Canis lupus familiaris: one gene and its partners. The protein of the gene in region 1 interacts with the protein of each later gene in a biochemical or structural test. Links are inferred from orthologs where the notes say so. Each region holds a gene or a part of one and is shown in the gene's direction. Other genes may lie near its edges.

Region 1 (3,789 bases):
TCTTCGGCTTGGGCATGATCCCTGGGGTCCTGGGATTGAGCCCCGCGTGGAGCTCCCTGCTCTGCGGGGAGCCTACTTCTCCCTTTCCCTCTGCTCTTCTCCCTATTTGTGTTCTCTAGCTCTCTCTCTGTCAAATAGGTAAAATAAAAATCTTAAAAAAAAGATTGTATCCTGTATACAGTCGAGATTATTGCATTATAATATTTGGTTTAATTTTGTGGATACCTTTGCAGTTTTTACTGACCTACAGATTGCTTTTTATTCCTATAAGGCTTCTCATAATATCCAACCATTGTTATTTTAAAATATCACTGCAATCAAGCCAAAGTGCATGTGGATGTTGTATTTTGTGACTTCTGAAATTAGAAGATTTTCCAAGTAAAAAGTTGGGTGGAAAACACCTAAAATTCACTACCATGTTTGCTTCAGCTGCGCATATACTAAAATTGGAATGATACAGAGATTTGTATAGCCCCTATGTAAGGATGGCACACAAATTCATGAAGTAGCTCCTATTTTTTAAAAAACGATGGTTTTCAAGTATTGATCACATTGCTAACTTTTAACAAAATCAGGTTATCCTATTTGGACGGAGAATACAAAAATGATATTTGATATTGAAGCTTAAGAGTTAACAATAATGAATTTGCACCTTGGCTAACTGCAGAACTTTTCACTTCTGCACTTCTAGGGTTGCCATCTACCAGGCTTGGCACCTTTCTGGAGAATCGTGTGAATGATTTTCTTAGACGTCAGAATCACCCTGAGTCGGGAGAAGTCACTGTTCGGGTAGTGCATGCTTCTGATAAAACTGTGGAAGTGAAACCAGGCATGAAAGCAAGGTATCCAATAATTTTCCCTTTTCTTCTCTTGTGGTTCTACAAGCACTTGACAGTTAATTGCTGATGATTCTGGTTTAACTGAGACCTCGTGTTTTTCTTTCCAATCTGGATTATGTAGGTTTGTAGATAGCGGAGAGATGGCAGAGTCTTTTCCTTACCGAACCAAAGCCCTCTTTGCCTTTGAAGAGATAGACGGTGTTGACTTGTGCTTCTTCGGCATGCACGTTCAGGAGTATGGCTCCGACTGCCCTCCACCCAACCAGAGGTAGGACTTGGCCCACTGCCTTCCAGTTGAGTGGGAGTTTGCAGTTCAATAGGCAAAAAGCATTGTGGGCAAGGAACTATTTGATGTACTTGCTTTGGAAATGGAAATGCAAACTGTGTTCATAGTAATAAGGAGGAGTATCAAACAGCCTGAAATGAGAAGTGGGAAGCAGACTGTTTTTCAGAAAATGGGCTTAATTCTTGATTGTGTTAGGTGCCTTGCCTGGGAGATAATGTGAAAGAATGTCACACAAGTAAAGTTAGGATATGGTTTAGAATTTGTTTCCAAAATAGTATAAAGGCCAGAATAAGAATGCTACCAGAATACACTTGGATCCATAAATACTAATACACTATGCTTCAAGCGCTGCTGGGTACTGAGGCTCACCAGACTCTCCTAAAGAGTGCACAGCCTAGTCATGTACTTAACTGTGACTGTGTGATGTGTATTATAAATGAGGTGAAAAAGAGCACAGAGGAGATTGTGTTTTTAGCCATATTAGTAAGAACTCCTTATGTGACTTGACATGGTTTCTTTCTCCCCACTTGATACAGGAGAGTTTACATATCCTACCTTGACAGTGTTCATTTCTTCCGTCCTAAATGCTTGAGGACTGCAGTCTATCATGAAATTCTAATTGGATATTTAGAATACGTCAAGAAATTAGGGTAAGCATATTGACAAATGCTATCTTTAAAAACAATGAGCTTAAACTAATTAAATTTTTAACTAATTACCACTGTGGTATTGTGGTGAAACTTAGATTAAAGCAGAGAGGTGACTTTGTTCCCTTTTCTCAGTGTTGCCAGTCGGACAGAAATGGATATGTTGACCCTAGTCATACTTATCCCAGATTAGTTTTCTTTTGTTCAGTTAAGGTGTTAGGTACAGTTTGATTGGAAGGTTGGTACTCATTCAGGGCCAGAACCTTGAACTGCAGTTGACCCTCTCATACCTAGGTATCAGAACCAAAATAGACTAGGGTCTGGAAATACTCAAATTAGCCTGATTCTTTACCTTCAGGGTATACGTGTGCTTGAGAACATTCACTACCGCACCTTGCAAGTTCTTCCTTTTATCACTTAGCTTTCTTCCATTCCTTGTTCCGTGTTGTTGGAATGGATCCATGTTCCTTTGCATTGTAGCTTTTCTTTTGTCTTCACATGCAAATTTGGGATTTGGGAATCCAGGGTTAGCCTCTAAGAAGAACTAGGCAATGTGACACCCATTGTAAGTGCTGTAGGTTAGGCCTGAATCTGGCCTAAGAATTTCGATCTGATTCTGGGTTGTACACTTGATATTGTCTTAGAAAAAAAATCATTGGTTTCCATATTGACTCCACGTTGTAGCATTCTTTCTGGAATAGATGATAAACTTTTCTCTTGAATATTCCCCCTCTTTGTGTTGTTAGATATACAACAGGACATATTTGGGCATGTCCCCCAAGTGAGGGAGACGACTATATCTTCCATTGCCATCCTCCTGACCAGAAGATACCCAAGCCCAAGCGACTACAGGAGTGGTACAAAAAGATGCTTGACAAGGCTGTGTCTGAGCGAATCGTCCATGACTACAAGGTCAGGAGGAATGGGGGGCGATGACTGATCCTGCAGCTCTGTATTCTGCTATTTGACTATCTTAACAAAAATCTTCTGTACTCCCTTTTTCAAACCAAGAAAAACTCAGTTTTAAATGTCTTAGATCAACAAATCTCTGTTTTAAAGATGTGATGAAAAACGTATTCTTAATAGCCATTCATGATTAGAGGGCATCTCATGATAAGAACTTGAACAGATAAGTTTCTTATCTGTTTTTACTCCTGGGGAGAAAAGTAAGAACTGGATGTTTTCCCAGGCAGCAGAGCAGAGCAGCCTGTGGCCATGCAGTTTCCAGTATTTGTGGTTTGGGTTGTTTTGAACATATTTCTCAGTCAGGGGATGGGTGATGGGAACAAGGCAGGCATTCCTCACATTGTATTGCATTGTGTCATCAGCAATAGTAAAGGCTGCGGCGTGATTGATGGGGCCTGAGCCATCAGTCCTCGCAGGAAGATGTCCCACTTGGCTTTATAAAGGCAGGTAACTTCCCTATCCTCACAGGCAGAGGAAAGACAGAACCAGAACCACTGACCTCAGACCTTGAGTTTTTACTGTTTAAGACTAAATGTCCCCCTGGGCCATGGGGCTTAGGTATAAATCTCTCTGCTGCCTTTCTTTCAGAAGACATTATAATCCTTCAGGTTTCTTGTGTCTGCTAGCTGTGACTGCTTCTGAATGATAAATGCTTCTTTAAAAAAAAAAAAAAACCAAATTCCTACTTGTACCTGGTATTTTCACAGGATATTTTTAAACAAGCTACTGAAGATCGATTAACAAGTGCAAAGGAGTTGCCTTACTTTGAGGGTGATTTCTGGCCCAACGTTCTGGAAGAGAGCATTAAGGAGCTAGAACAGGAGGAAGAAGAGCGAAAGCGAGAAGAAAACACCAGCAACGAGAGCACAGATGTGAGGGCTTTGCATTTTCCTTCCCAGCTTCCACCTTGATTCTCGAGTATAATCCGCCATCAGGCTTCAACTTTTGACTTGGTCTTAAAGCTTTCGGCGTGAAAGAGCTTTATTTTTTTTAATTAATCAATTATTTATTTATTTATTTTTGGAAAGAGCTCTTTAAATTGGTCAAGAAA
Region 2 (4,544 bases), on another chromosome or scaffold:
TTGAGTTCGCCTGAGTTTGGGAAATCAGGCCACCACCTGACCTTGAACCTCAGCAGCTTTCCTTCAACTCCTTCCCTTCCCTTTACCCCCACACCAGCGCAAAACTGGCAGGGTGGTTTCCCACTTTGCTAATTCAGGCCCACGGGCTGCTCAGTAAAAGGATACACGAAGAACCAGGCGGTAAAGAACATGCCAATTGCCAATAGCACCACGGTCAGATGGGGGAAGACGGCAGGGTTCACTGGGCTGGTGTATCTGCTCATGGCCTCGAGCTCCTAAGGGAGGGTATGAGATCAGAGCTATCAAAGAATCCCAAGACTTCAACCCGGGAATGGGGAATGTGAGGTCATCAAGGAGCCTCCTCCTGCTAGGACTGTTATGGGTCTGTTTCAGCCTGGGAAATATGGAAGTCCCTCGGAACCAACATCGAGCGATCCCATTCGGAAATGACAACAATGACATCTTAAAACTAAGGTGATACTTTACTTTTTCAATATGAGACAAGAAGGGCAGCTGAGGGTCTGATGCTGACACAGAAGGTGATCGATTAGCTATCAACCAGTGTGGTTCCTAACATTTTTTGAGACCGCTGAAGACTATTAAAAAACATGCGAGAAAAGGTATGGACTCTGCCCAGGGTAAACCACAAGCAAGAAGTCTGTCTCTAATTTTAGGAGCTGTACGGACCCTCGTCTGTGGACACCAAGCTCAGAATCCTGCTGTAATTCCGAGCCTGGGCCAGGACCCAATCTCAACTGCTACATCTGCGTGCTTCACCCCGTGCTGTTATGGAGTCTCAGGATCTATCGGCCAAGAGACTTCAGTTAATAATCTGGCTCTACCGAGTAACATGCATCTCAGTAGTCATTAATAACACCACTCAGGGATCCCTGGGTGGCGCAGCGGTTTGGCGCCTGCCTTTGGCCCAGGGCGCGATCCTGGGGACCCGGGATCGAATCCCACGTCGGGCTCCCGGTGCATGGAGCCTGCTTCTCCCTCTGCCTGTGTCTCTGCCTCTCTCTCTCTCTCTCTCTGTGACTATCATAAAAAAAAAAAAAAAATAATAATAATAATAATAACACCACTCATAGGGCTGATGTATGATTTAAGAAGGATGACCAACGTCAAAGTGTCAAAGCATGTAGCTCACTTCCTGGCATGGAGTAGTTGCTCGAACGGTGTCTGCTTCCTCTTCGGGCTTACAGGGAAGATTATGAGATAATGCCTGTGAAGGAGGGCTGTAAACGTAAAGTTCCGTACAAATGTTAACTTCCATTGTCACTCACCAGCCAACGCTCCTAAAGTCCAGAACATAACAACTCTAGAGAAATGAATTGACCCCATTGTCCTAAGAGACACTGGAATTCAATTCAGTAAACATTTGTGCCTCCCCGAACACGACAAAGACAATCGCTGCCATTTACTGGGCCTCCAATTGCGGGCCCTGTGTTGGGCACTGGGGGATACAAAGATGAATAAGACAGCGTCCCAGAGCTGGAGGCACGTCAGAGGCTGGTCACTCGGAGGCGTGGCAGATAACAAAGGAGTCCATGACCTGCGGCAACAAGCCTGTACAGAGGTCGCGGGAGCGCCCAGGGCAGAGCGGCCAAGCGCCTGGGAGAGCTGGACGGGCTTCACCAAGAAGGCGACACCTGCCCTGGGCCTTGTAGGATGAGCACGAGTTCGGCAAGGGGGAGAACCTTCCAAACAGACACAAGAGCTCAATCACAGCCGACACATAAAAGCTCACGGTATTAAAATGCACCTCACGCGGCTCACCCCTAAGAGTCGCGAGCGCGAAACCTCGGCCTAACGAGTCCACCGCCAGGGGCTTCCCTTCCCGCCCCTCGGCCCGAGCCGGAAGATACAGGAGCCTCCCGCCATCTGCATCCCGGCCGTCTGCGGCCTTTGCGAGAGAAATGGAATGTGGGGCGGGCCCCGAGGGGGCCTCAGGGACTCTCTCACCATCTCGCCAGGTGTAGGCTCATCCGCCGCTCCGCCACCGGAATCACACGTCGGCAGCAGGAGCGGGCGCTCTGTCCGGCCGGAAGAGGAAGTGCACCCACGCGCGTGGCATTGTGGGATCTGTAGTCCTGTGCGTTCGGGTGTAGCAGGGGCTAGTGCCTGTGGGCGCCTGACGTAGAGCCGGGGCAAGCGATGGAGAAGGGTAGGGTAGATCCCCTGAGAGGGTTCATTCGCCCCTGGCGGGACTGTTTGCCACGAGGGGAACTGGCCGAGGGGTCGGGGCACGGTGCACTACACTTCCCAGGAGGCTATGCGCGGCGGCGGGTCACGTGACGGGAGCGCGGGCTTTGGAAGGCGGCGGAGCGGGACCGGGTCTGCCGCAGAGTGGAAGCCGGGGAGGGCCTGAGCACTGTCCTGGGCAGCGCCGGACTGAGCACTAGCTGCGGAGGCCTCGCGCCGCAAAGGCCAGGTGAGGCCCCACGGGCAGCGCCCCCGAGGGCGGCGGGTCCGCCTCGCGCTGGGTGCTGTGGGGGACCGTCTGCCGCGCGCGGGGCGGAGGCCGGGGCGCGGGTTCGCCGCCCTCCCGCTGCGCGACTTGGGTCGGTCGCTTAACCTCTGAGCCTCTTGCTTCACTTGCGGAAGGAGGGAAGTAGCCTCCACTTTAGGGGGCCGTTGTGTATTTTGACCGAGATTCTGCACGAGGAACGTTTTGGAGACTTCGCTGGTCTGGACCCCTTTCCCGCCTCCCAGTGTTGGGGGCTGGGGGAGGCCAGCCGGCCGGCAGGTCCTGACCCCTCGGGACGCCTCCTAGCAGGACAGCCAGCCTGAAGCTGGACCCAGAGGATCGGATGTACGGATCCGAGCCCCCAGGGTGTGGCAGGAGTTAGAGGATGGCGGGAGGAAGGGCAGGTCTTATCCCATCCTTTGTGTTGGCCCCCAGACTGTGAAGGCAGGTTGGGAAGCAGAGCGCGGAAGATCCTGATGCCGGGTTGAGGTGTTTGGACTTAGGTAGAAGGGGGTATGTACAGGGTCCCTGATGCTTTAGAAAGAGCCCTTTGAAAAGTGGGAGCAACGAAAAGATCTAGTGTAATATTTCTTGGGCGTATCGGACACATAACACCAATGGGCACGCGATGACTTTTTAAGTGGCACCCAAAAAATCCTTTTTATTGTTATTTATTTATTTATTTATTTTGCAAAAAATCCTTTTTAATAGTTATACGTTTAACGCATTAAAATGTAACTGATACAGCACAGACATACTGCTTGAGTTCTCTTTTTCAACTTACCTTCGTTTTTTTTGTTTTGTTTTGTTTTTTTTTTAATATATTTTTTTTTAATTTTTTTTTTTATTTATTTATGATAGTCACAGAGAGAGAGAGAGAGAGAGGCAGAGACATAGGCAGAGGGAGAAGCAGAGGGAGAAGCAGGCTCCATGCACTGGGAGCCCGATGTGGGATTCGATCCTGGGTCTCCAGGATCGCGCCCTGGGCCAAAGGCAGGCGCCAAACCGCTGCGCCACCCAGGGATCCCTTGTTTTGTTTTTTTAAGATTTTATTTATTTATTCATGAGAGACACAGAAGAGAGAGGCAGAGATGTAGGCAGAGGGAGAAGCAGGCTCCAGGCAGGGAGCTTGATGTGGGACTCGATCCTGAGACCGACCGCAGGATCACACCCTGAGCCAAAGGCAGGTGCTCAACTGCTGAGCCACCCAGGTGTCCCTTACCTTCGTTTTTAAAACCATGGTGTCCATTTAAAAAAACAATATTAGGCGAATGAAAGTACGGGTTTTACATGGAAATGGCAAGACATTGTGAGGGTGATTTGGGTGTGACCGAATTTCGGGAAACACTACCCTAGGAAGTAATTTGTCCACAGAAGTGCAGTACGGGACTCAGGCCACTACAGCTTGCCGGGTTCCTAGATTGGGACCTAGGGTCTAGTAGGGAGCCATGAGTTCACATTTCAGACTTAGTGGTAGAGAGAAAATACAAAGGGAAAGCCTTAAAACTCCTAGCAACATCATAGAAGTAGAAACCAATCACCGTGTTGAGGGGACACTGAAGGGAGCTTGTGAGAAAGCCACATAACTCCTGTCCAGATATGATGTTCTTTGCCAATCCTCCTTCAAGGCTACTCTATGAGTCGGGGTTCTCCAGAGGAACAGTAAGATATAGGATGTGGACATATATAAGGAGATTTATCTTAAGGAAGTGGCTCAGGTAATTGTAGAGGTTGGCAAGGTTGAAAATGATCAGGCGGGACCTCAGGCTAGAAACTCATGCAAGAGTTGATGCTGCAGCCTTCAGGCCAAATTTCTTTGGGAAATCTCAGCTTTTGCTCCCAAGGCCTTACAGCTGAGTGAATGAGGCCCAGCCGTATAATGAAGGATGATCTCTTTTGCTTAAAGTCAACTGATGATAGATGTCCCAAAATACCGTCACAGCAACAACTGGATTAGTGTTTTGAGTAAATAACTACATGCCTTAGCCTAGCCTAGTTGGGACATAAAACTCACAGCTGCGAAGTGGCAGGGAGCCAGAGGCATTAGTTGGGGATGTTCAATGACTGGCAGAAA
Region 3 (3,789 bases), on another chromosome or scaffold:
TTCCCCGCCAAAACCTAAAGGGGGGCGGGAAGAACAGGGTCAGGGGGTTTGTTCCCTCCTCTTCCCCTGCAGCGGGAGCAGGGGGACGGGATGATCTTTCTTTCTCGCCTCTTTCTACATTTCCTTCCTCCTTTTCCCCCTTCTGTTTTCTCTCGCTGGCTCTATTCCTCTTCTTCCAATGTCTCTGCCGTCGTTCTCCGTGCCCCCAGGCCCTGGGTCTCGCAGGCACCCCTGCGCTGTCCCAGCCGGGCCGCCTGTCCACGTGGCGCCAAGCGCGCCTCTTCCACGTCTCGGGGCGCGAATCCCGCTGGGCCCCCGGCGCACCGCTCTGGGCGGGCGGCTGTCGGAGCGGGCGTCCGCTTGTCTGTCTGTCTGCCCGCAGGATGACGGAGCGGCCGCCGGGCGAGGCGGCCCGCAGTGACCCCCCGCCGGAGGGACGGGACGCGGCCGAGGCCCGCATGGCCCCCCCGCACCTGGTCCTGCTCAACGGCGTCGCCAAGGAGACGAGCCGCGCGGCCCCCGCGGAGCCCCCGGTCATCGAGCTGGGCGCGCGCGGAGGCCCGGGGGGCGGCCCTGCCGGCGGGGGCGGCGCCGCGCGGGACGGGAAGGGCCGCGAGGCGGCGGCGGCCGAAGCGCGCCATCGGGTGCCCACCACCGAGCTGTGCCGGCCCCCGGGGCCCGCGCCCGCCTCGGCCCCCGCGGAGCTGCCCGGCGACGGCCGCATGGTGCAGCTGAGCCCGCCCGCGCTCGCGGCCCCCGCCGCCCCCGGCCGCGCGCTGCTCTACAGCCTCGGCCAGCCGCTGGCCTCGCTCGGCAGGTCAGGCCCGGGGGACGACGGGGGGGCGGGGGGCGCAGGAGGAGGAGGCGTTGCGAGCCCCGGGGCGGGTGTGCGTGTGCGCGGGGGCTCCGTGGGGCGGGCGCGCGAGCCAGTGTGCGAACCCGGAGGGTCCGCCCTGGGGAGCGCGGGCCGGGCTGCGTGTTGGGGCGTGTGTGTGCTGGGGTGGGGTGTGGACCCAAGGGAGTCGCCTGAGTGGGAGTCCCAGGTGAGAATGTGTCTGAATGCGCTCGCTGCTCTGAAATCCTTCTGGAAGCCGCAGCCCTCAGCGGACAGGTGAGAGGAAGGGATCTGAGGGTGGTTGCAGACGGCGCCCTCCCCGCCCTCCCCGAACTGCTGGCCCGGGTGGGGCGGTGGGGCGGGGATCCCTCCTCCCCTCTGGGGCCCCTCTGCCCCTGGCCCGGGCTGTGGTCTCCGGGCCGGGGCCTGCGCTCCCCTCCCAGTTTAGGTGTCCATTTCCCTGCTGGGGCCACTGAGATGGTGGGGAGATAGGGGTAGATTTAGGGTGGAGACCGGAAGGTGAGGCAAGGGTTGACAATGGGGGCAGCTAGTGGGAGACCCCGAGGAGGAAGAAGCTATGGAGAGCCCAGGGAGGGCAGTGAGGGGCATGTGAGCAGTGGTGAGGCCAGGTTTACTCTCTGTTGTCTGTCCACGGGCCCCATGGGGCGGGATGCAGGTGTGGTGATCTCTGGGGTGGGGGGCAGTGTGTCCTGTGAAGTGCTAGGGCTGCAGGTCGTTAGGTGTGAAGGCCACAGCTGCCTGTGTGAGTACCTGTGCAGGAGGGGAGGTGCCTGTGGATTGTGTGCTTGTGTCTGGGAAGGGGAGTACGTCTGCCTGAGGAGCATGTGTGTTCGTTTTTGGGTTTGCTCTGTGTGTTCACTTCTGATTGTGAAGGGTGGGGAGCGGTGTGTGGGCATGGGGCCCCTTCTCCCCTCGCTTGCCTCCCCAAGGGGAGAGAGTGGGAGCACTCTGTGACTGTGTGTGGCTGTCTGTGTGGGATGCTCCTTCTATCCCGGACTCAGGTGTGAAGGGAGCAGGGTGGCCCTTGTGTTTCCCCGGGGTGGGGCGGGCGCCCAGAGCACGCGGGATCGCTGAGGAGCCCGCCGCCCTCCACCTGCGTGTGAGCTTGTGCTCTGCTTACTCCCTTCCACAGTGGGTTCTTTGGGGAGCCAGATGCCTTCCCTATGTTCGCCACCAGCAACCGAGTGAAGAGGAGGCCCTCCCCTTATGAGATGGAGATTACAGACGGTGAGTCTCCCCGCCTCTTCCTTTGTGCTCACCCCTCCTGCTGGTCCGAGAGCCCCAGCAGGGGCCGGATCTTCAGGGACTACTCCCTAGGCGGCTCACATAGTTGGGGGTGGGGCTACCTGGGAATCCGAGTCTGCTGGAGTCCTTGCCCTGCAACTGCCCTGGGACCAGGCCAAGTCATGGGTGGGGCTGGGGGCCATCCTCACCATCCTGGGAAGAGGGAACATGGCAGTGAGGACACAGGGTGGCATTTAGCGCAAACCTCTGGGGTCAGCTGGCGTCCGTCCGCGCTCTAGTCCCCATTCGTACACTGTGCAAGAATCCCAGGGGAGGGCAGCACACATGGTGCTCCCTGCCTCTGAGCACCGAGCCTCAGAGATTTCTTGTACCTCCTCCCAAGGCCTTTTTTGGAGTCTGCTCCCTGCCTGGAATTGCACCGTCAAGGTCCGTGTCCCAGGTCCCTTTTTTGTGGGACCCTCTTGGCCCCTGTTCCATACCCAGGGCTGAGACCTGGCATTTCCTTCCTGACATCATAGATCCTACCCTGCCGTCCTCCCCTGCGTCCCCCAGAAGGCCCTCGCCAATACTCCTGTGAACTACCTGAGTAGTCTTGGGCGCTAAACTTGGGGAAGGAGTTGGATGGATGGGAAATTAGGAGTATCCTGTCCCTCTTCCCAGGGTTGACCTGATGTAGGAGATGGGACCCAACACCAGGGGGCAGGAGAGCAGGCTCTTCAGAGCCGGGGACCAGGAGCCCAACCCTGGAGCTGCCAGTGTGGGGCCTGGGGCTCCTGTAGGAAGGCCACCTGAGGCCTTGAGGCCAGACTGGGATTTAATCAAGGGGTCAGTAGGAGGGACGTGTACTGAGCTGGAGCTTCTGGAGAGGAGTCCTCTGTAGTGTTCTGGAGGGGAGGGGGCTTGGAGTCTGGACAAGGAACAGACCTCATAAGCCCTGAGCAGCCTGGGGCATGAGCTGTCGGTCCAAGAGGGAAGGGTGATGAGGTGTCAGTACTGCTGGAACTTTGGGGCTGATCCTGCTCCGAAGTTCTCCAGGGCAGAGGCCTTTTGCACAGAGGGCAGAAGCAATGAGAATCAGGCACAAAGGAGAGGAAGCAGGAGAAGGGGCCAGGGGGGTGAGGGTTTGGGGGGGAGTGCAGAAGTATAGGGAAGCCATTACTCATAAATGTCTGGATGCTGAGTAGGTGCAGAGAGGCAGGGCCGCAGAGGGATGGACAGGCTAGGGAAGAGGAAGGTGCAGAGAGGCGGATGGTTCTCTGGGAAGGTGCCAGAGAGGAACAGACAAAAACAGAGGTGAAGAGGAGGGTATGTGTTGTGTGGTATGCAGAGTACGTATGTCCATGGAGGTTTGAAACCAGAGATTTCACCAAAGAGTCCGAAGAAATGGAACTTGGTGTGGATTCCTGCTGCTGAACTTTTCTGGTTCTTATTTTCCTCATTTGTAAAGGGGGGAACCTCACAGGTTGCTGAGAGTCCAATGGGATAAAGTGTTTTTAGGGCTTGGCTGGGGATAGGTTCTGCTAACTGTAACTGGGACAGCAGTTGTAAGGCCCCCTCCCCACCCAGGAGCTCCCTCAGCGTCCTCCTGGGCAGGGACAGTCCTCCTTATGTCACAGCTGAGGGACACCCCTCTGTCTGGCGTGGAGACCAGAGAACATGGAGTTATTTCCTCTGCAGCAGCCCAGGAT
Region 4 (3,789 bases), about 24 Mb from region 1:
CAGATGGAGAGACAAGCCCAGAGAGATTGTGTCTCTTGTGCAAGGCCATAAGACTCGTGAGCACAGATTTGGGTTTGAATCCAGGTCTGTCTGATTCTAAAGACTAAACTCCTAACTTCTGCACTGTTTTGGTTCTCAGTGAATTTTTTTTTTTTTTTTTTTTTTTCAGGAATCCTCAATCACAAGGGTAGGTGTCTGATAAGGATGCTGCCGACTTGGGTGCACTGCACAACCTGCATAATAACCACATTGGGGCTCAGACAAGAAGGAGGTTGACTTGGTTGGGGGTTGGACAAAGGGAGGAGGGGAGGTCTGGAATGAAGTAGGATTTTTGTTGTTTTCCTGCTGAGTATTTAGAATAACTCTTCTCCTCTTCTCCATATATCTTCTTCCTCCTGGAATAGCTTCCGGAAGTTCAACATTCTAACCTCAAACCAGAAAACCCTGACCCCCGAGAAGGGGCAGAGTCAGGGCTTAATTTGGGACTTCGGTTACCTGGTAAGAAGGGCTAGCAGCCTAAGGTTCTGGTCCGGTGCAACGGGCTGAGGGAAGTTCCCAGGCCTTGGGAAGTCTTGAGGCGAAATAGGGGTTCCAGGGACCCTGGAGTCCTCACTCTGGCATTTATTTTATTTCCTGTCAACTCACAGACTCTGGTAGAACAACGTTCAGGTGGCCCAGGAAAGGGCTGCAATAAGGTGAGGCCTGGCCAGAGCAGCGGGGGGATGGGAGGAGCTTGCCACAGGGCCCGCTGACCGCTGTGTCTTCGGCTGTCCTAGGGCATGCTGGGTGTGACGGAGGAACTGCACATTATCAGCATTACAGTCAAATACACCTACCAGGGTCTGAAGGAGGAGCTGAAGGTGAGTGGAAATGGAGGGCAGGGAGAGATGAAGCAGATCTGGCGGAAGGCATTCAGGAGGCGTTAAAGGAAGCCTCTCCAGTGGGAAGTTCTCCTTTGCCTCTGTCAAAGCTAGAAACATCCCATCCCTCTCTCTGACTCTTGTTTTCTCTTCAGACAGACACCCTCCCTGTGGTGATTATTTCCAATATGAACCAAGTTTCCATTGCCTGGGCCTCGGTTCTTTGGTTCAATCTGCTTAGCTCAAACCCCCAGGTAGGAGATGGTGCTAATGGTGCTGGGTGGCAAGGAAGGGTGTGGACGCTTGGCCTGAGGGTGCTCCTTCTGAGCCATCCTGCCCTCTTCCCACTCTTGCAGAATCAGCAGTTCTTCTCCAGCCCTCCCATGGCACCCTGGAGCTTGCTGGGCCCTGCTCTCAGCTGGCAGTTCTCCTCCTATGTTGGCCGAGGCCTTGACCCAGACCAGCTGAGCATGCTGAGGAACAAGCTCTTTGGTACAAACCTCCTTTTCTCCCAGCCTTTCCCCAGCCGTAGTCTCCCCAGCCCTCCACCCTTTCTATTCCAAGGACCCTGGCCTTGCCTGCATCGATTACCTGAACTGTCTGTCTGTCCACAGGTCAGAACTCTAGGACTGAGGGCGCATTGTTATCGTGGGCCGACTTCACTAAGGTAACTCCCTGCATCCTGTGTGACTACGTCTAGCCCCTGTGCAAACACTAGTCCTTGCCCTCCTTACTGCCATCTGCTCACTGGGGGCGACTAATCATGTCTCTTCCTGCCTTTTCATTCCTCCTGCAGCGAGAGAGCCCTCCTGGCAAGCTACCATTCTGGACGTGGTTAGACAAAATTCTGGAGCTGGTACATGACCACTTGAAGGATCTCTGGAATGATGGGTAAGGCCTTGGTCAGTCTCCCTCGCCCCACCCCTAGCTTTCTGCCTTTCTGGGCTCGAGTGGACTCTGTGCGCCCTCATGTGGCAGAAAGGGAGAGAGCAAGCAAATGCTGGTGCAAGGTCACGCGCCTGACGTTTTCGCTCATGATAATAGTCCTAGCATCTGTTGTGCTCCAGAACCTGCTGGATGCTCCTTATGAACTCTCTCGTGTAATCCTTACAACCGTGTGGAGTCAAAGAGAAGTTAAAGAATTCACTCAAAAAAAAAAAAAAAAGAATTCACTCAATGAAAAAAAAAAAAAAAGAATTCACTCAATGGGCCTGCTTGGGACTCAAACCCAGGCCTCATCTGACTGCAGGCCTGTGCTCTTCCCATCACACTACCTGCTCATTTGCCTTTCCAAGGTGCTTTTTCATCTGTGACCACACTGAATCCTCAAACCTCTTCCAGCCCTAGAAGGTGGATACCGTCAGTAAGAGGAAGTGACTTGGCCAAGAGCAAGGGCCAAACCCTGGCGCTGTCTCCCTGTACAAGGAGAGCAGGACAGCAGGACAGCAGGGAGGCATGAGGGCCTCACAGCAGCTTTCTGTTTCAGACGCATCATGGGCTTTGTGAGCCGGAGCAAGGAACGCAGGCTGCTGAAGAAGACCATCTCTGGCACCTTTCTCCTGCGCTTCAGTGAAACATCAGAAGGGGGCATCACCTGCTCCTGGGTGGAACATCAGGATGATGGTCAGCTGCTTCGCCCCGATGTTCCCACAGCCTGTCCTTTATGTCCCTCTGCCAGCCCTTGGCTTCCCTGGTTCTGTCTTGAATCCCTCAGCAGGTTGGGGCTTAGATGGCCAGGGTGGGGGACTCCTAGACCCGACTGTTTCAGGCCTGCCTCTTCCCACATCCATTCTGCAGATAAGGTGCTCATCAACTCTCTGCAACCCTTCACCAAGGAAGTGCTTCAGTCTCTCCCACTGACCAAAATCATTCGCCACTACCAGCTGCTTACCGAAGAGAACATACCTGAGAACCCACTGTGCTTCCTCTACCCCCGAATCCCCCGGGATGAGGCTTTTGGGTGCTACTACCAGGAGAAAGGTAAGGATCGTTGATGTATGTCACTGAAGATTGCAGGGACTCAGGCATCTACAGATCCAGCTCCTTTCTTCCAGACATGGAAAAATTGGTAGCCAGAGAAACGAAAGGATTTGTCCCTGGGACATGGCTAGTTAGTAGGGAAATACAATTATCAAGACCGTTTACACGAGGGGTCCTTGGGCCAGGTGTCCAGTCCACTGACCTCCCTGTCCTCCTGCATATGTCCCCCACAGTTAATCTCGAAGAACGGAGGAAATACCTGAAACATAGGCTCATTGTGGTCTCTAACAGGTGAGAGATGCATTTCTTGCCCATCCTCCCTGGCCTTTGCTGGCTGATGTGGCGACCCAAACCCGCTCAGTTTGCCTCTCTGGCCTTCTTTCCTACGGGCCCATAGTCTCCAACCTCTAGGTTTTTTCCCTCGTTCTGCTAGCCTCTTTGTTCCCTAGTGCTCTGCTGCTATCCTTAGGTTGTTTCCACAGGGCTTCCCTGCTAATCAGAGTCATAATCACTGACGTTAATGGGCATCTACTTGAAGCATAGTACTAGATTTTTTTTTTTTTTTAGAAACAGATTTCTTTTTATTTTATTGAATTCTTCTGAGAACCCATCCAATTAGGTGATAACAGCCATATTTAAGAAAGTTTATTATGTGGCAGGTACTGGACTAAATATTTTGCATTTAGTTTCTTATTTATTGAATCTCCATAATAGTCCTGTGAGGCAGACATGGGTATTTCAGCCGAAGAGCCTGAGGTTTAGTGTGGTGAAATGGCATGCCTAAGGTACATGGCTAGTAAATGATCCAGGTCTGTCAGATTCCAAAGTCCTGCTTTTAACCATCCTACTCTCTGAAGCGTTATTAGGTGGTGATGGTTCCATTTTATCGATGATAAATCTGAGGCACAGAAAGCTGAAGATCACCTATCTAATAAATGATAGGATTCAA
Region 5 (4,265 bases), on another chromosome or scaffold:
CCCACCACCGGGCATCCCACTCTACCTACATCGCAAGTCTCCCTGCAAGGCGACTGCGCTACCAGCCTCTAGGCTCCGCAGTCCTGCAGGTGCTCTGGCCTGCCGCCCTTCACACAGCCAGGTCCCTCTCAGCCTGGCATCACCCACTCCAGAGGGCCGTGGGCATGCGCGGCTGGGTGGTTGTACCTCCTCCCACGGTGCTGACCAACCTTTGTTGGGATGGGGGTGTCTGTCCCCAGGGCCAGGCCATGAACTTTGGTTTCAGCAGGGGCCGTGGCAGGCATCTGGAATGCCCAGAGCTTAACCCCACTTGGCACAGGATGCCCAAATCTGGCATCGTGGCGGAGAAATAAATCATCCGGAAGGAGCACGTGGGAGGGGCCCAGGGCTGCCCTGGGGCTCGCAGAGGGTCTGCTGGACTCGTGTGCTTGCCGGGCATCTGAAAGGGAGGCGCCTGAAGAAGGGGCTGGTCAGCGAGCAAGAGCGTCTGGAGGCGGGTCCCTCCTGGGGGAGTAGTAGCAGCGCAGTCCGTTGGGCAGCCGTTGGCCCCAGGTGGTTTCACTGGGGCACCCAGCGCTCTCCAGAAACAGAGGCCCCGGCGCCGCCATCCCTGGGGGTCAAGTGCCCGGCCTGTCTCCTGGAGGCTCGCCACGGGGACCTGAGCCCCTGGGTCGGGGGCTTCCCTACGGCCGGGGGGGCACGAGTCCTCCCCGAGCTCCAGTCACGGCCCCGGGTCCCCCACAGGCCTTGGCCGCTCCTCCAGCTCCTCAGCCGCGCACGTACCCTTAGGCCCCACTCGCCCCACTCAGCTCGCACCTCCTCGGCTATTGAGATGCAAATCTTTGTCAATTGTCGCCGAGCGCGGCGTAAGTCAGAGGCGGATCCTTCCGCAGTCCTGAACCAAACTTTTTGCCGCTGAAAACTTTCGAACAAGAAGTAGTCCCTAGGTCCGACCTCCGACGCCCCTTCGCCCCGCCGCGGCCCCCGGCCCCCGGGGGCCCGGGCGTCCGAGGCGCGCCCAGCTGCGGGGAGACGCGGGGAGGTCGCGGGGCACGCAGGGGCGCAGCCGGCGAGGGCGAGGGCGAGGGGTGCGGAGGGATCGGCAGGGCGGGCCCGAGGGGCGGGGCCGGAGGGGGGGCGGAGCGCACCGCGGCCTGCGCCTCACTAGTGCCTCGGCCGCGGGAGGGAGCGCAGGGGCGCGGGGCGCGGGCACGGGCGCGAGCGCAGCGGAGGAACGAGCCGGGGCGCGAGCCGGGCCCGAGGCCGCGAGGGCCCCGCGTCGCCCGCCCGCCCGCCCGCCCGCCGGGAAGCCGGGAGCCGCCGCCGCCGCCGCCGCCGCCGCCGCCGCCGCCGCCGCCGCCACCGCCGCTCGTGGGACCGTCCGGCGCGCCCCGTGCGCGGCAGCCCCGCTGTCCCGGCTCGGGAGGCCGCCGCGGGCAGCGGGCAGCGGGCGGGCAGGCATGCCGCCGCTCCTGCCTCCCCTGCTCTGCCTGGCGCTGCTGCCCGCGCTCGCCGCACGAGGTAGGCGCCCGCCCGCGAGCCCGCAACTTTCTGCGCCCTCCGGAAACTTTGGCGGCGCCTACGCGCGCGCCCCGGCCGGCCCGGAGCCGGCGGCAGGGGCGGGAGAGGGGCGCGGGGCGACCCCGGGCGCAGGAGAAGGACCGACGGGAAGGGCTCGCGCCGCCCGCGCGCGGAGCCGGTGTGAAGGAAGCCGGGCGCGGGGCGCTCGGAGCGCCTGGGACCCCGGCGGGCCCAGCCCTGGGCTCGCCCTCCGTCAGCCACGCGTGGGGCTTGCCGCCGGGGCAGGCGGGCTGGCTGCCTACTCCTTTTCGATTTGAATCGAGTCGGTTTTGGTTTCCTGTTGCTTTGGGGACCATTTATCTTTTTCGTCGCCTCTGGCCCGCGCCGGGGGCGGATGCCGGGCGCGGATGCCGGGCGCGGAGCGTGGGGTCCAGGCGCGGCGCTGCCCTTACGGAGCAATGCGGGGCGGGTGGGGCCGGGCGGCCTCAGCGCTCGGGAGGGCTGGCGAGGGAAGGACGCAGCACCCCCTTCCCACGTCCGATCGCCACCCCCGTCCCCGCTCCCATGCAGCTTGCCGGTGGGGGGGGGGGTGCGGGGTGCGGAACACCCAGCCCCTACCGGCCTGACTTTCACTTTGCGGAGTTCAAGTTTAGAAATGTAGCGAGGGCTGAGAGGCCGTGGAGAAGGAACGCTTCTCTCTCCACTTCACATCAGGGATCCGGTGGTGACTGAGTCCTCTCTTCCCCTGAAAGTTCGTGGGGAGAATTAGCTCCCTGCTTCCAGAAGGTGGGGTTCCAAGTCACATCCCGTACCTGCACCCCCCCCCCCAAGGGGCTTAATTCACAGGTCGCTGGTACCACGGGGAGGGAACGACTGGATTAATCCCTTCTTGGGAATGGGGTCGAATTCTTTCCAAATAGGGCATCTCCATCCTCCTCCCCTGGGTGTATCTGGGGGTGACCGACGCAGAGCAGGTATTGGGTGTCCTGGAGGCGGCTCCGGGTCCCCGAGGTGCAGCCCCACTGCCCCAGGAGGCGGCCCTGTTGACAATGGGCTGCTCTGATTCCGAGGCTGGCGCTTTTTCGGCGGGCGGGGCGTTGAGCTTTGCAGCTGTCGCCTTTTCCCACGAGCTGGGGTGGGGGGCAGTGTGGCCACCCCACCCCTCAGCACCGCCCCCTCCCAGAACATGTTTGAACTGCAAGACAATCTTGGTGGCTGGATAGGGGCCCCAGCCCAGTTGGGCTCCCCGTTGAAGATGGGTTGGGGGTGCAGAGTTTGGAAGAGTGGCCCAGGGACATCTCAGATTCCCTTCATTGTTGTCCAGATGGCATTTCAGGCCTCCTTGGCCCATATGGAGCATGACCTGTCCACCTGCCACCCTGCCAACCTGTTGCCCTCCCCCCCCCCGCCCCGTTTCTGACTACAGAACTCTGGGCAGAATGTGGAAGCCCTTTGGGGTCCCCATTTGGGAGGGTTCCTGAGGTCCCCTGCCCCCAGCAACCCCGTGATGAGGCAGAGCTGTCTAGGTGAGGGGCTGCTGTACCCCTTGGGGTGGGCCTTTCCCTGGGCTGAGGGCCCTTGTGCCACCCAGGCTGATCTCTTGCCTCGCCCCTCCCAGGTCTGCGATGTTCCCAGCCCAGTGAGAGCTGCTTGAATGGCGGGAAGTGTGAAGTGTTCCTCAACGGCACAGAAGCCTGTGTGTGAGTACGCACCCCTGCGCCCCTGTGGGGACCTGTTGCTTTTGTCGGGAGCAGAGCCCCTGCCTTCTGCAGCAGGGGCCAGCAGGGACAGAACACTAGGCCATTGTCTTCTGGAGATGGCCCAGAAGGCTGGGCGCGGTCACGTGCTACTTTTATTGGACAAAGTCTGGCAATTACTTAATCACCAGCAATTATGCTGCGTGTGGAGCTGGTCTGGCCGCTGGAGGTTCGAGCACGCCTTGTGCACCACCTTGGACTCCTGGGGTGCTAGGTGGGGATTCCCAGTACCCCGTTTCTTCCTAAAGTCTCTGAGAAACGACTGCCCTGCCAGGGGAGGCTGTGGACCTTTAGAGAAGCCCTGCCCATAGGGGTGCCTCCCGAAGATCAGCCAGTGCTGACCCTCACAGAAATGGGCTGTTTCAGCCCCACCCCTCTGGGCCCTCTGCGGCCTCTAGCACCCCCTCTCCAACCTCAGGTGAGGTTGGGGAACTCTTCGGGAGCCCATCTCATAGGTTAGGGGTGGGTGGGAGTGTACCTGCCAGAGCTTGGTCTTTGTCTTGGCATCTGTAGCTTCAGCCCTGCTGCCATCCGGCCCATCACCTGCTGGGCTGGTCCGCAGCTGGAGTGGGAATGTGTGTGTCCTGCGGGGGCGCCCCCGCCTCGGGCGGGGAGTCCTGTTAGAGTCCGCACCCTGCCTGCCCATGCACCCTCGCCTGTGTGCCCTGCCTGCCCCTGCGCAGCGGCCTCACCAAAGTTTTTCTGTTGTGGCTGGTGCCCTTCAGCTTGACTTCTTCCTTGATGGGACTATGAGGTGGTGCTTGGTGGCTGGAAAAAGGTCCCCTCCTCCCGCCGGGGCGCAGGGCGGGGGTGGGGGTGGGGGGCACAAAGGAAGCAAGGGCTCCCCAGCCGGTCCTGGGTCCTCCTCAGCGTGCTGCATTCCCACTGCCGAGGGCCCCTTCCCTTGACAACCCTTGGCCCGTGGGCAGGCAGCCCCTCCTTCGCTGCCCCCACCCTCCCCAAACTGAAGCCAATTAAACAGGTCTG
Region 6 (3,989 bases), on another chromosome or scaffold:
GCGGGGCTGGTCGGGACTAGCCGTCCGGGGGCCCGGGCGCGCCCTGGGACCTGGCAGATACCCGGGCTCCCGGGTCCTGGCTCCGGGCCCCGGGACGGCGCTGGCCCCACCCCTTCCTGTGTCCTTATATGGGCGCGGGGGAGAGCCTCCCGGGGCCGCCCCGCCCCCAGTTCTGCCCGCGGACTCCGGCCTGTTGCCATGGCGACCAAGCCCGCTCCCGGGCGCGTCCCCCTCCGTCGGGCTAATGGAATCGTCCCCGGACCGCCTGCCTCCGCGGTCGCCTGCGGGTGCTGCGGGCTGAACCATTGCTGGGAGAGGGAGACTAGAGGCCTATGCGGCTGGGCGTGTTCTGCGCACCCTGGCCTCCGCCAGGGTCGCACGTCCACGTTCCTCTTCTGAGGCGCAGAACCCAACCGGACCCAGGGCGGGGCGCACGGTCCCGTAGGATCCGAGTGACGGAGGCAGGGCCGGGCTCCTTCCCCCGGGGCTGTTGCCACACTTCCTGCCGCGGCGCTCTTTCCCCAGCCTGTTTCTAAGGAAGGAGTGGGGTTGGGCGACCGCGCCCGGGCCGTCGGGGTAGGTTCAGCACCCTGAGTCGGCACGGTGTCGGTCAAGCCCCGGGTCACGGGGGGAGGGCTTGGAGATGGGAGCAAAGTATACTGGCGCCTAGAAAGCACCCACAAGAAGGGGTGGCCAGTCATGGAAGATCCAGCAGTCCAAATCCCCAGGATCCTCAAAAACCCCTCCTCTCATGTCTCAGCTGGAGACCCTGTGTCATTATCATCTCGGCTCTGAAAGTGTGTCCGGACTCTTAACTCTCCTTCATCAGGGCTTTGCAGATGACCCCAGTGACTCCCAACCTCTGACAGGGTCCCCCCCCCCATAATTTCCCAGACTCGGTATACCCCGGAGCCCTCACTTTCTACATAACTAGATTCCCCTTATGGAGGCCCTCAGTCTCTCCCATGGACTTCAGGACCCCTACTCATTTTTTGCATAATGGATCCTCCATCCCCTCCTTTTGCCCTTTTGATCCCCCCCTCACTTTTCCTGGGTTCAGTCCCTCTATTAAAATTCAAGTCCTTTAACCCCTCTGTACTCAGGACCCCCACACATTACCTTACCCCTCTCTCATTTACTCTGGTTGATCCTCCTGTCTCACCTTTGTGGGGTCTCCCTGTGTATATAATCAGCCCTTCAACCCCCCTCGAATACTCCGAGTCCCTCAGGCCTTTTGTGTACACCCTGGAGACCACCCCCGCCCTCCGCCCCAACACGCACACGCGCACGCACGCACACACACACACACACACACACACTTGCTTTGTAACAGTTCCTCGCATCCAGGGGAATCAGTGCCTTCCCTGGAGTCCCTCCCCGTGTATCTCGGACCAGCACCCCTTCCTTCGCGCACCCCGGGGTCCCCTGAGCCCCTCCCCCTGCAGCCGCGCCGAGCCACCCAGCCCGTGGCCGCTGTTTACAAGGACACGCGCTTCCTGACAGTGACGCGAGCCGCCTCCTCCCCTTCCCCACGCTGGAGGAGGGGGGCGCGGGGGCCCGGCTCGCGCGACGGCCAATCGGAGCGCACTTCCGTAGCTGACAATAGCCGTATAAAGGCGTGTGGCTCAGCCTGAGCTGCCGGGACCTTGAGCGCGGCCAGGCCAGCACCGGAGTCAGCAGGGAGCGGGGAGCAGGGGGAAGCGACACCAGGAAAGCGAGCGCGCCGGACAGGGGCCGAAGGGCTCGAGAAGCCGCACGGAGCTTCCGCGCACCGCCGCCGGCTGGCCTCTCCCGGCCGGTGCCAGCTCCTGGGAACGCGCGTCCAGATACCCAGTCCAGCCACCGTCGCGGACAGGGCGCCGCTCGCCGCAGCGAGGCCCGGGGCGGCCCCGCAGGGACCCCCCCAGACCGCCTGGGCCGCCCGGATGTGCACTAAAATGGAACAGCCCTTCTACCACGACGACTCATACGCAGCGGCGGGATACGGCCGGGCTCCGGGCGGCCTTTCTCTACACGACTACAAACTCCTGAAACCCAGCCTGGCGCTCAACCTGGCCGACCCCTACCGAAGTCTCAAAGCCCCCGGGGCGCGGGGCCCGGGACCAGAGGGCAGCGGTGGCAGCAGCTACTTTTCCGGCCAGGGTTCGGACACAGGCGCGTCGCTCAAGCTTGCCTCATCGGAGCTGGAGCGCCTGATCGTCCCCAACAGCAACGGAGTGATCACGACGACACCCACGCCCCCGGGACAGTACTTTTACCCCCGCGGGGGAGGCAGCGGCGGAGGTGCGGGGGGCGCCGGGGGCGGTGTCACCGAGGAGCAGGAGGGCTTCGCAGACGGCTTTGTCAAAGCGCTGGACGACCTGCACAAGATGAACCACGTGACGCCCCCCAACGTGTCCCTGGGCGCCAGCTCGGGGCCCCCGGCTGGGCCCGGGGGCGTCTACGCCGGCCCGGAGCCACCTCCAGTCTACACCAACCTCAACAGCTATTCCCCAGCCTCTGCGCCCTCTGGAGGCGCCGGGGCCGCCGTCGGGACTGGGAGCTCGTACCCGACGGCCACCATCAGCTACCTCCCACACGCGCCACCCTTCGCTGGCGGCCACCCGGCGCAACTGGGCCTGGGCCGAGGAGCCTCCACCTTCAAGGAGGAACCGCAGACCGTGCCTGAGGCGCGCAGCCGCGACGCCACGCCACCGGTGTCCCCCATCAATATGGAAGACCAGGAGCGCATCAAAGTGGAGCGCAAGAGGCTGCGGAACCGGCTGGCGGCCACCAAGTGCCGGAAGCGGAAGCTGGAGCGCATCGCGCGCCTGGAGGACAAGGTGAAGACACTCAAGGCCGAGAACGCGGGGCTGTCGAGCACTGCTGGGCTCCTCCGGGAGCAGGTGGCCCAGCTCAAACAGAAGGTCATGACCCACGTCAGCAACGGCTGCCAGCTGCTGCTCGGGGTCAAGGGACACGCCTTCTGAACGCCCCCCCATACGGACATTCCCCCAGTCTGGACGACTGGGCGCACGCCTCCCAAGGGGCGAGGGGGCAGGCGGTGGGCACCGGCCCCCGGGGCACCGCAAACCACACTGGACTCCTGCCCGCCCGCTCTGCGTCCAGTCCTTCCACTTCGACGTTTACAAGCCCCCCTTTCGCGTTTTTTTGTATGTTTTTTTTTTTTCTGCTGGAAACAGACTCGATTCATATTGAATATAATATATTTGTGTATTTAACAGGGAGGGGAGGAGGGGGCGATCGCGGCGGAGCTGGCCCCGCCGCCCGGTACTCAAGCCCGCGGGGACACTGGGGAAGGGACCCCCGCCCCCTGCCCTCCCCCCTCTGCATCGTACTGTGGATAAGAAACACGCACTCGGTCCCTAAAGAGTTTATTTTAAGATGTGTTTGTGTGTGTGTGTGTTTGTTGTTCCGACTTTTTATTGAATCTATTTAAGTAAAAAAAAAAATGGTTCTTTATTAATTTGTTGTCTTTTTTTCCAAGCCGGGCGGGAGGAGGGAGGAGAATAGTGGGCTGCCCCCACCCCACTCCTGCTTGTGACTCGCGCCAGTGTCCGTGTCCTCCTCGCCAGCTCTACCTAAGCATCTTGCAGCCCTAGTGCGGGCGGCGGACCCTTCTCTGGCCCCCTCCTCCCCGGGGTTGGAAGGGCCAGGGCGGGTACGCGGTCCAGCCGCCCATCACCAGGGGGCAGGAGGCCTGGGGCGAGACGCGCAGTGCGCGGGCGCAGCCCCGCCCAGCTGCGCGCGCTGGGGCTTTCCCCGCTGACGCAGCGGAAGCGCTGCCCCTACATGGGCCGATTCTGTCCAGTGACGCGCCGGCGGTCTCCGGGCAGATTCCGGGAATCCCCTCCCCCGCTCTGCCGGGCAGGGCTGCGGCGCCGGGAAGGGGGCCGGGATTTTCCCAGGCAGGCGGCTGCCGGGGCCCGGAAAGCCCCAGGCCTGGGTCCAGAGCGTCCGCGGTGGGAGGGCCAAGCTCCTGGGTCCCG
Region 7 (4,243 bases), on another chromosome or scaffold:
CTGGGAGGGACAGGATGTTAGTCAACGGAGGATTAGAGACGGAGCTGCTGGAGGAGGAATGGCAAAGATAGGCTGTCTATGACTGCAACCGGCCCGGGGAGGAATGAATGATCATTCAAATCGCCAAACACAAACACGGGCCTCTTCGGGAATCTCTACGACCTTTGCTTGACAGGTGGAGGTTGGTTGAGTCAAGTGAGAGTCTGTGAGGTCCGGAGGAGTCCTGGCCATTAACCCCCTCCAGAGCCCTGCCAAAGGCCTTTCCCGAAGGAGGAGCGAAGAAAAGACCCACTCGGTGTAGGCCCTGCTTGCTCCCTTGGAGAAGGCTCGTCGGAACCAGGCGCCTTTTGCAGGTCGGGGCCGTGCAGGGTCAGCTTGGGGCGGGAACACGGGGTGTCGGCGGGGGAGGGGGGCATCGTCTGCAAGGATCCAATGGCCTTGGCGAAGCATCAGAGGAGCCCCCGAAGCTTTCACACAGAGAGTTCTGGGACCGAAAGAGCCAAGGCCTGAGCGCGCCCAGGCTGCGCCCGGACCCAGGGGTGATGTACGGGGGGCTTCGGACAGAGGCCGCTGAAGGCGAGGCGCCCCAGGCTGCACGTGTGCTGGGGGCAGTGACAGGCACAACATTTCTACCGTCGAGGCTGGGCCTGGGTGAGCCGGGGACGGAGGCCGCGCTTGCAGACCAACCCTGTGCGCCAGGCCGGTAGGTCTCCTTCGGGGTTTGGCGGGGATGAGGGGATGGCGGGCACACGCAAGCGTCCGCCACGCGGGGGAGACCCGAGGCGGGCGAGCCCGGGAGGGCAGCAAGTGTGGGGCGCGCCCCGGCGGCCACCGGAGCCAGGCCAGGCCGCTCCCCCGCGCGCCTCGCTCCCGGGGCTCCCGGGGCTCCCGGGGCTCCCGGCCCGTGCGCGCCCCGACGCCGGCCGCCCTCTCCCATCGGAGCCCCCCCTGCAGCCCCCCTCCCCCGCGCCCCCTCTCCCTTCTGCCGCCTGAAAGGGTTAATCTCTCCTGCGGGTAAAAACAGGTCCGCGGAGTCTCTAACTGGCGACAGATGGGCCACTTTCTTCTGGCCACAAAGGGGCCGGAATGGAGCGCTCCGCGGCATACAAATGGGCGGGTCACGTGGCCGCCGGCTCCTGGCTGGACCGGGAGGACCATATGGCGCATGCCGGGGAGGCAGGAGCTGGGGCGGGGGCAGGGCTGGGGGGAGCGGGCCGGGGGCGGGGTGGGGAGGGCGGGGGAGCGCGCGGCCCGGACGCGTGCGCAGGCGCGGGGCGCACGGACCTGCGGGCGCTCGGCTCCCCGCCCCGCCTGCGCGCGGCCCCGGCCGGCGGCTATATAACCCGGGCGCCCGCGGCCGGCGCGCGAGGAGCTCGCCCCACGCACGAGGCGCGGCGTCCGGGGCCCGGGGTTATGAGCCCGCCACTGCTCAGGACCTACTAACCGCCGCAGGTAAGCACGGCCCTCGCCTCGCTGCCCGGGGATCCAAGCGGTCGCGGAAGCCCCCGGCGTCCCCGCACGGATCCCGGGGCCCCGGACGCGCGCGTGCATCCACGGGCATCCCTCCCCTGCCCTCCCCTGCCCTGCCCTGCCCTGCCCTCCCCTCCCCTCCCCTCCCCACGCCACGCCGCGGGCAAACCCGCTCGCAGCTCGGCTCGCGTCCATCACCCAGCGCTGGCTCTCCAGTTTTTTTTAAAAAAATGTTTTAGTGTTTTGGTTTTTTGGGGGAGGGCCTCTTTGGGTTTTTGTAAATAATGCACCCCAACTCTGATGATTGGCTTGCTGGTGGTGATTTCAAAGTCCTGGAAGCAAACGACTACTTGACTTTCTCACTCCTTCTAGTAAGGGAAAAAAGAGAAAAAGAAAAAGAATAAGGAAAAAAAAAAAAAAAAAGGAAAGCCCTGTCACCAAGATGCATTTTGTGTGCATGTGTGTTATACGCGATTGGAAGTGCCGAGTTATCGTTTCAGTGACTAGAAGGGGCATTTGAGACCCGGAGTATATTCCCCCCCCCCCACACACACACACCCCATCCCCAAATAACCCACTTGACAGGTAGTTGGGTTGGGAGGGAGGGGGGATGTGGAGACGGGGAGAGGAGCCGACTCCTGCTACCTGTTACTGCTTCCGAGGCGGCCAAGTCCCCAGCAGCCAGCGCAGGAGCCAGAAATTCAGTTATCTCACTAAAGGCTCTTTTTTTTTCCTTAATTTTCTTTATTAGAAGCGGCAACTTCGCTCTTGCCAATCGCTGACCATCATAATTACTCAATCTTTTTAAAGAGAGGTTTGAGGCGAACTTTGAAAAGCCCCCAATAAAGAGCGGGCGGCCCTTTCAATGGGCTGTTTATTAGAGAGGAGCCTCCCGCACCTGATCCCAGGCGCCGGGCAGGGCGCTGTGCGCGGTGCCCCGGCCTCGCCCCGGAGCCTGCGCTTTTGTACAAGGTGGAAATTCAGCGGAGGGACAGGGATGGGGGGCGAGGGGGGAGGAAGGCGAGGCTGGCACGGGAGCCCCCTGCCCACTTCTGTTGCCACACGTTTCGTTGATGGCGAATTAATTGGACGGGAGCTACTTTTTCTCCGGCACGCATTTGCTCTTCAGTCTCGGGGTAGTGTGTAATCTTCTTAAAAATCACTGCCACCGTTAGTTAGCAAATTACGTAATGGCCCTTTGCAGCTGTAATCGCCAGGGCAGAGAAGGGGACGCACGGAATTGGGATTTTTTTTTTCCAAACTCATCATTTTATATGTGTGTGTGTGTGTGTGTAGTTGTGAGTGACTTTGAACTCACGCAGATAAAGGTGGAGTAGTCGGGGGGGGGAAAAAAAAAGCAAACAAACATGAAGTAGTGGAAATGCATGCTCATTTTCACGCATGTATCTCTCTGCCGCCTAAGCACCGTAAACACACTTTCACCCATCGCTAGGAAACACACCTGCTTGCTCTCTCCCCCACCTGCGCCGCTGCCCTCTGTCCCGGGGGCCTGTTGTCAATCAGGCCGGCTAAGTTTTTCTTAGGAGCATCTGTCTGGTCAGCAGCGGTCACTCCCTCGCGCGTGCATCTCTGCCAGGTTAGGGAGTGGGAGCGCGGGGAAGGCGCAGGTCGTTGGCGAGCCTAGCGCTTTTCTCCTTTTCTTTCTGTTCCCCTTCCCCCCTCCCCCCTGCCCCCGCCCCCTGTTGAATGTAGGAAACCGCATCATGACCAAATCGTACAGCGAGAGCGGGCTGATGGGCGAGCCTCAGCCCCAGGGTCCTCCCAGCTGGACGGACGAATGTCTCAGTCCTCAGGACGAGGAGCACGAGGCAGACAAGAAGGAGGACGACCTGGAAGCCATGAACGCCGAGGAGGACTCGCTGAGGAACGGCGGCGAGGAGGAGGACGAGGACGAGGACCTGGAGGAGGAGGAGGAAGAGGAGGAGGAGGACGACGACCAGAAGCCCAAGAGACGCGGCCCCAAGAAGAAGAAGATGACCAAGGCGCGCCTGGAGCGGTTCAAGCTGCGGCGCATGAAGGCCAACGCCCGGGAGCGCAACCGCATGCACGGGCTCAACGCCGCGCTGGACAACCTGCGCAAGGTGGTGCCCTGCTACTCCAAGACGCAGAAGCTGTCCAAGATCGAGACGCTGCGCCTGGCCAAGAACTACATCTGGGCTCTGTCGGAGATCCTGCGCTCGGGCAAGAGCCCCGACCTGGTGTCCTTCGTGCAGACTCTGTGCAAGGGCCTGTCGCAGCCCACCACCAACCTGGTCGCCGGCTGCCTGCAGCTCAACCCTCGGACCTTCCTGCCCGAGCAGAGCCAGGACGTGCCCCCGCACCTGCCGGCGGCCAGCGCGCCCTTCCCGGGGCACCCGTACCCCTACCAGTCCCCGGGGCTGCCCAGCCCGCCCTACGGCACCATGGACAGCTCCCACGTCTTCCACGTGAAGCCGCCGCCGCTCGCCTACAGCGCGGCGCTCGAGCCCTTCTTCGAGAGCCCCCTGACCGACTGCGCCAGCCCCGCCTTCGACGGGCCGCTCAGCCCGCCGCTCAGCATCAACGGCAACTTCTCCTTCAAACACGAACCGTCCGCCGAGTTCGAGAAGAGCTACGCCTTCACCATGCACTACCCCGCAGCGACCTTGGCAGGGCCCCAGAGCCACGCCTCGGTCTTCTCGGGCGCCGCCGGCCCGCGCTGCGACATCCCCATAGACAGCATCGTGCCCTTCGAGAGCCATTCGCATCACGAGCGAGTCATGAGCGCCCAGCT

What was found.
Region 2: of the proteins of EP300 (region 1) and FEN1, one has a biochemical effect on the other in vitro, tested with the Homo sapiens proteins (2 studies listed by BioGRID, with this or other methods). The link is inferred for Canis lupus familiaris from reciprocal best matches to the Homo sapiens genes EP300 and FEN1.
Region 3: the proteins of EP300 (region 1) and TAL1 form a complex in vitro, tested with the Homo sapiens proteins (3 studies listed by BioGRID, with this or other methods). The link is inferred for Canis lupus familiaris from reciprocal best matches to the Homo sapiens genes EP300 and TAL1.
Region 4: the proteins of EP300 (region 1) and STAT2 form a complex in vitro, tested with the Homo sapiens proteins (3 studies listed by BioGRID). The link is inferred for Canis lupus familiaris from reciprocal best matches to the Homo sapiens genes EP300 and STAT2.
Region 5: the proteins of EP300 (region 1) and NOTCH1 form a complex in vitro, tested with the Homo sapiens proteins (2 studies listed by BioGRID, with this or other methods). The link is inferred for Canis lupus familiaris from reciprocal best matches to the Homo sapiens genes EP300 and NOTCH1.
Region 6: the proteins of EP300 (region 1) and JUNB form a complex in vitro, tested with the Homo sapiens proteins (2 studies listed by BioGRID, with this or other methods). The link is inferred for Canis lupus familiaris from reciprocal best matches to the Homo sapiens genes EP300 and JUNB.
Region 7: the proteins of EP300 (region 1) and NEUROD1 form a complex in vitro, tested with the Homo sapiens proteins (3 studies listed by BioGRID). The link is inferred for Canis lupus familiaris from reciprocal best matches to the Homo sapiens genes EP300 and NEUROD1.

The regions. Positions count from the first base shown.
Region 1 is NC_049231.1:25,041,578-25,045,366, reverse strand, and holds part of EP300 (histone acetyltransferase p300), read left to right. Parts: intron 1-418; exon of another isoform or gene 419-520; intron 521-691; coding exon 692-842; intron 843-960; coding exon 961-1,107; intron 1,108-1,661; coding exon 1,662-1,775; intron 1,776-2,518; coding exon 2,519-2,684; intron 2,685-3,445; coding exon 3,446-3,610; intron 3,611-3,789. UniProt on the Homo sapiens protein: Functions as a histone acetyltransferase and regulates transcription via chromatin remodeling. Acetylates all four core histones in nucleosomes. Histone acetylation gives an epigenetic tag for transcriptional activation.
Region 2 is NC_049239.1:55,292,879-55,297,422, reverse strand, and holds the start of FEN1 (flap endonuclease 1), read left to right. Parts: upstream 1-1,563; 5' UTR 1,564-1,751; exon of another isoform or gene 1,752-1,965; coding exon of another isoform or gene 1,966-1,988; exon of another isoform or gene 1,989-2,167; intron 2,168-2,193; exon of another isoform or gene 2,194-2,434; intron 2,435-4,544. Other genes in the region: TMEM258 (transmembrane protein 258), read right to left, coding at 166-275, 1,151-1,238, 1,966-1,988. UniProt on the Homo sapiens protein: Structure-specific nuclease with 5'-flap endonuclease and 5'-3' exonuclease activities involved in DNA replication and repair.
Region 3 is NC_049236.1:13,538,829-13,542,617, forward strand, and holds part of TAL1 (T-cell acute lymphocytic leukemia protein 1), read left to right. Parts: intron 1-382; 5' UTR 383-383; coding exon 384-817; intron 818-910; exon of another isoform or gene 911-1,049; coding exon of another isoform or gene 1,050-1,111; intron 1,112-1,988; coding exon 1,989-2,083; intron 2,084-3,789. UniProt on the Homo sapiens protein: Implicated in the genesis of hemopoietic malignancies. It may play an important role in hemopoietic differentiation. Serves as a positive regulator of erythroid differentiation.
Region 4 is NC_049231.1:996,824-1,000,612, reverse strand, and holds part of STAT2 (signal transducer and activator of transcription 2), read left to right. Parts: intron 1-169; coding exon 170-187; intron 188-404; coding exon 405-498; intron 499-647; coding exon 648-695; intron 696-776; coding exon 777-860; intron 861-1,015; coding exon 1,016-1,114; intron 1,115-1,216; coding exon 1,217-1,352; intron 1,353-1,474; coding exon 1,475-1,527; intron 1,528-1,656; coding exon 1,657-1,751; intron 1,752-2,346; coding exon 2,347-2,483; intron 2,484-2,657; coding exon 2,658-2,840; intron 2,841-3,073; coding exon 3,074-3,131; intron 3,132-3,789. UniProt on the Homo sapiens protein: Signal transducer and activator of transcription that mediates signaling by type I interferons (IFN-alpha and IFN-beta).
Region 5 is NC_049230.1:48,973,017-48,977,281, forward strand, and holds the start of NOTCH1 (neurogenic locus notch homolog protein 1), read left to right. Parts: upstream 1-1,406; 5' UTR 1,407-1,460; coding exon 1,461-1,521; intron 1,522-3,139; coding exon 3,140-3,221; intron 3,222-4,265. UniProt on the Homo sapiens protein: Functions as a receptor for membrane-bound ligands Jagged-1 (JAG1), Jagged-2 (JAG2) and Delta-1 (DLL1) to regulate cell-fate determination.
Region 6 is NC_049241.1:49,756,886-49,760,874, reverse strand, and holds JUNB (transcription factor jun-B), read left to right. Parts: upstream 1-1,629; 5' UTR 1,630-1,925; coding exon 1,926-2,969; 3' UTR 2,970-3,466; downstream 3,467-3,989. UniProt on the Homo sapiens protein: Transcription factor involved in regulating gene activity following the primary growth factor response. Binds to the DNA sequence 5'-TGA[GC]TCA-3'.
Region 7 is NC_049257.1:25,207,368-25,211,610, reverse strand, and holds the start of NEUROD1 (neurogenic differentiation factor 1), read left to right. Parts: upstream 1-1,322; 5' UTR 1,323-1,452; intron 1,453-3,183; 5' UTR 3,184-3,194; coding exon 3,195-4,243. UniProt on the Homo sapiens protein: Acts as a transcriptional activator: mediates transcriptional activation by binding to E box-containing promoter consensus core sequences 5'-CANNTG-3'.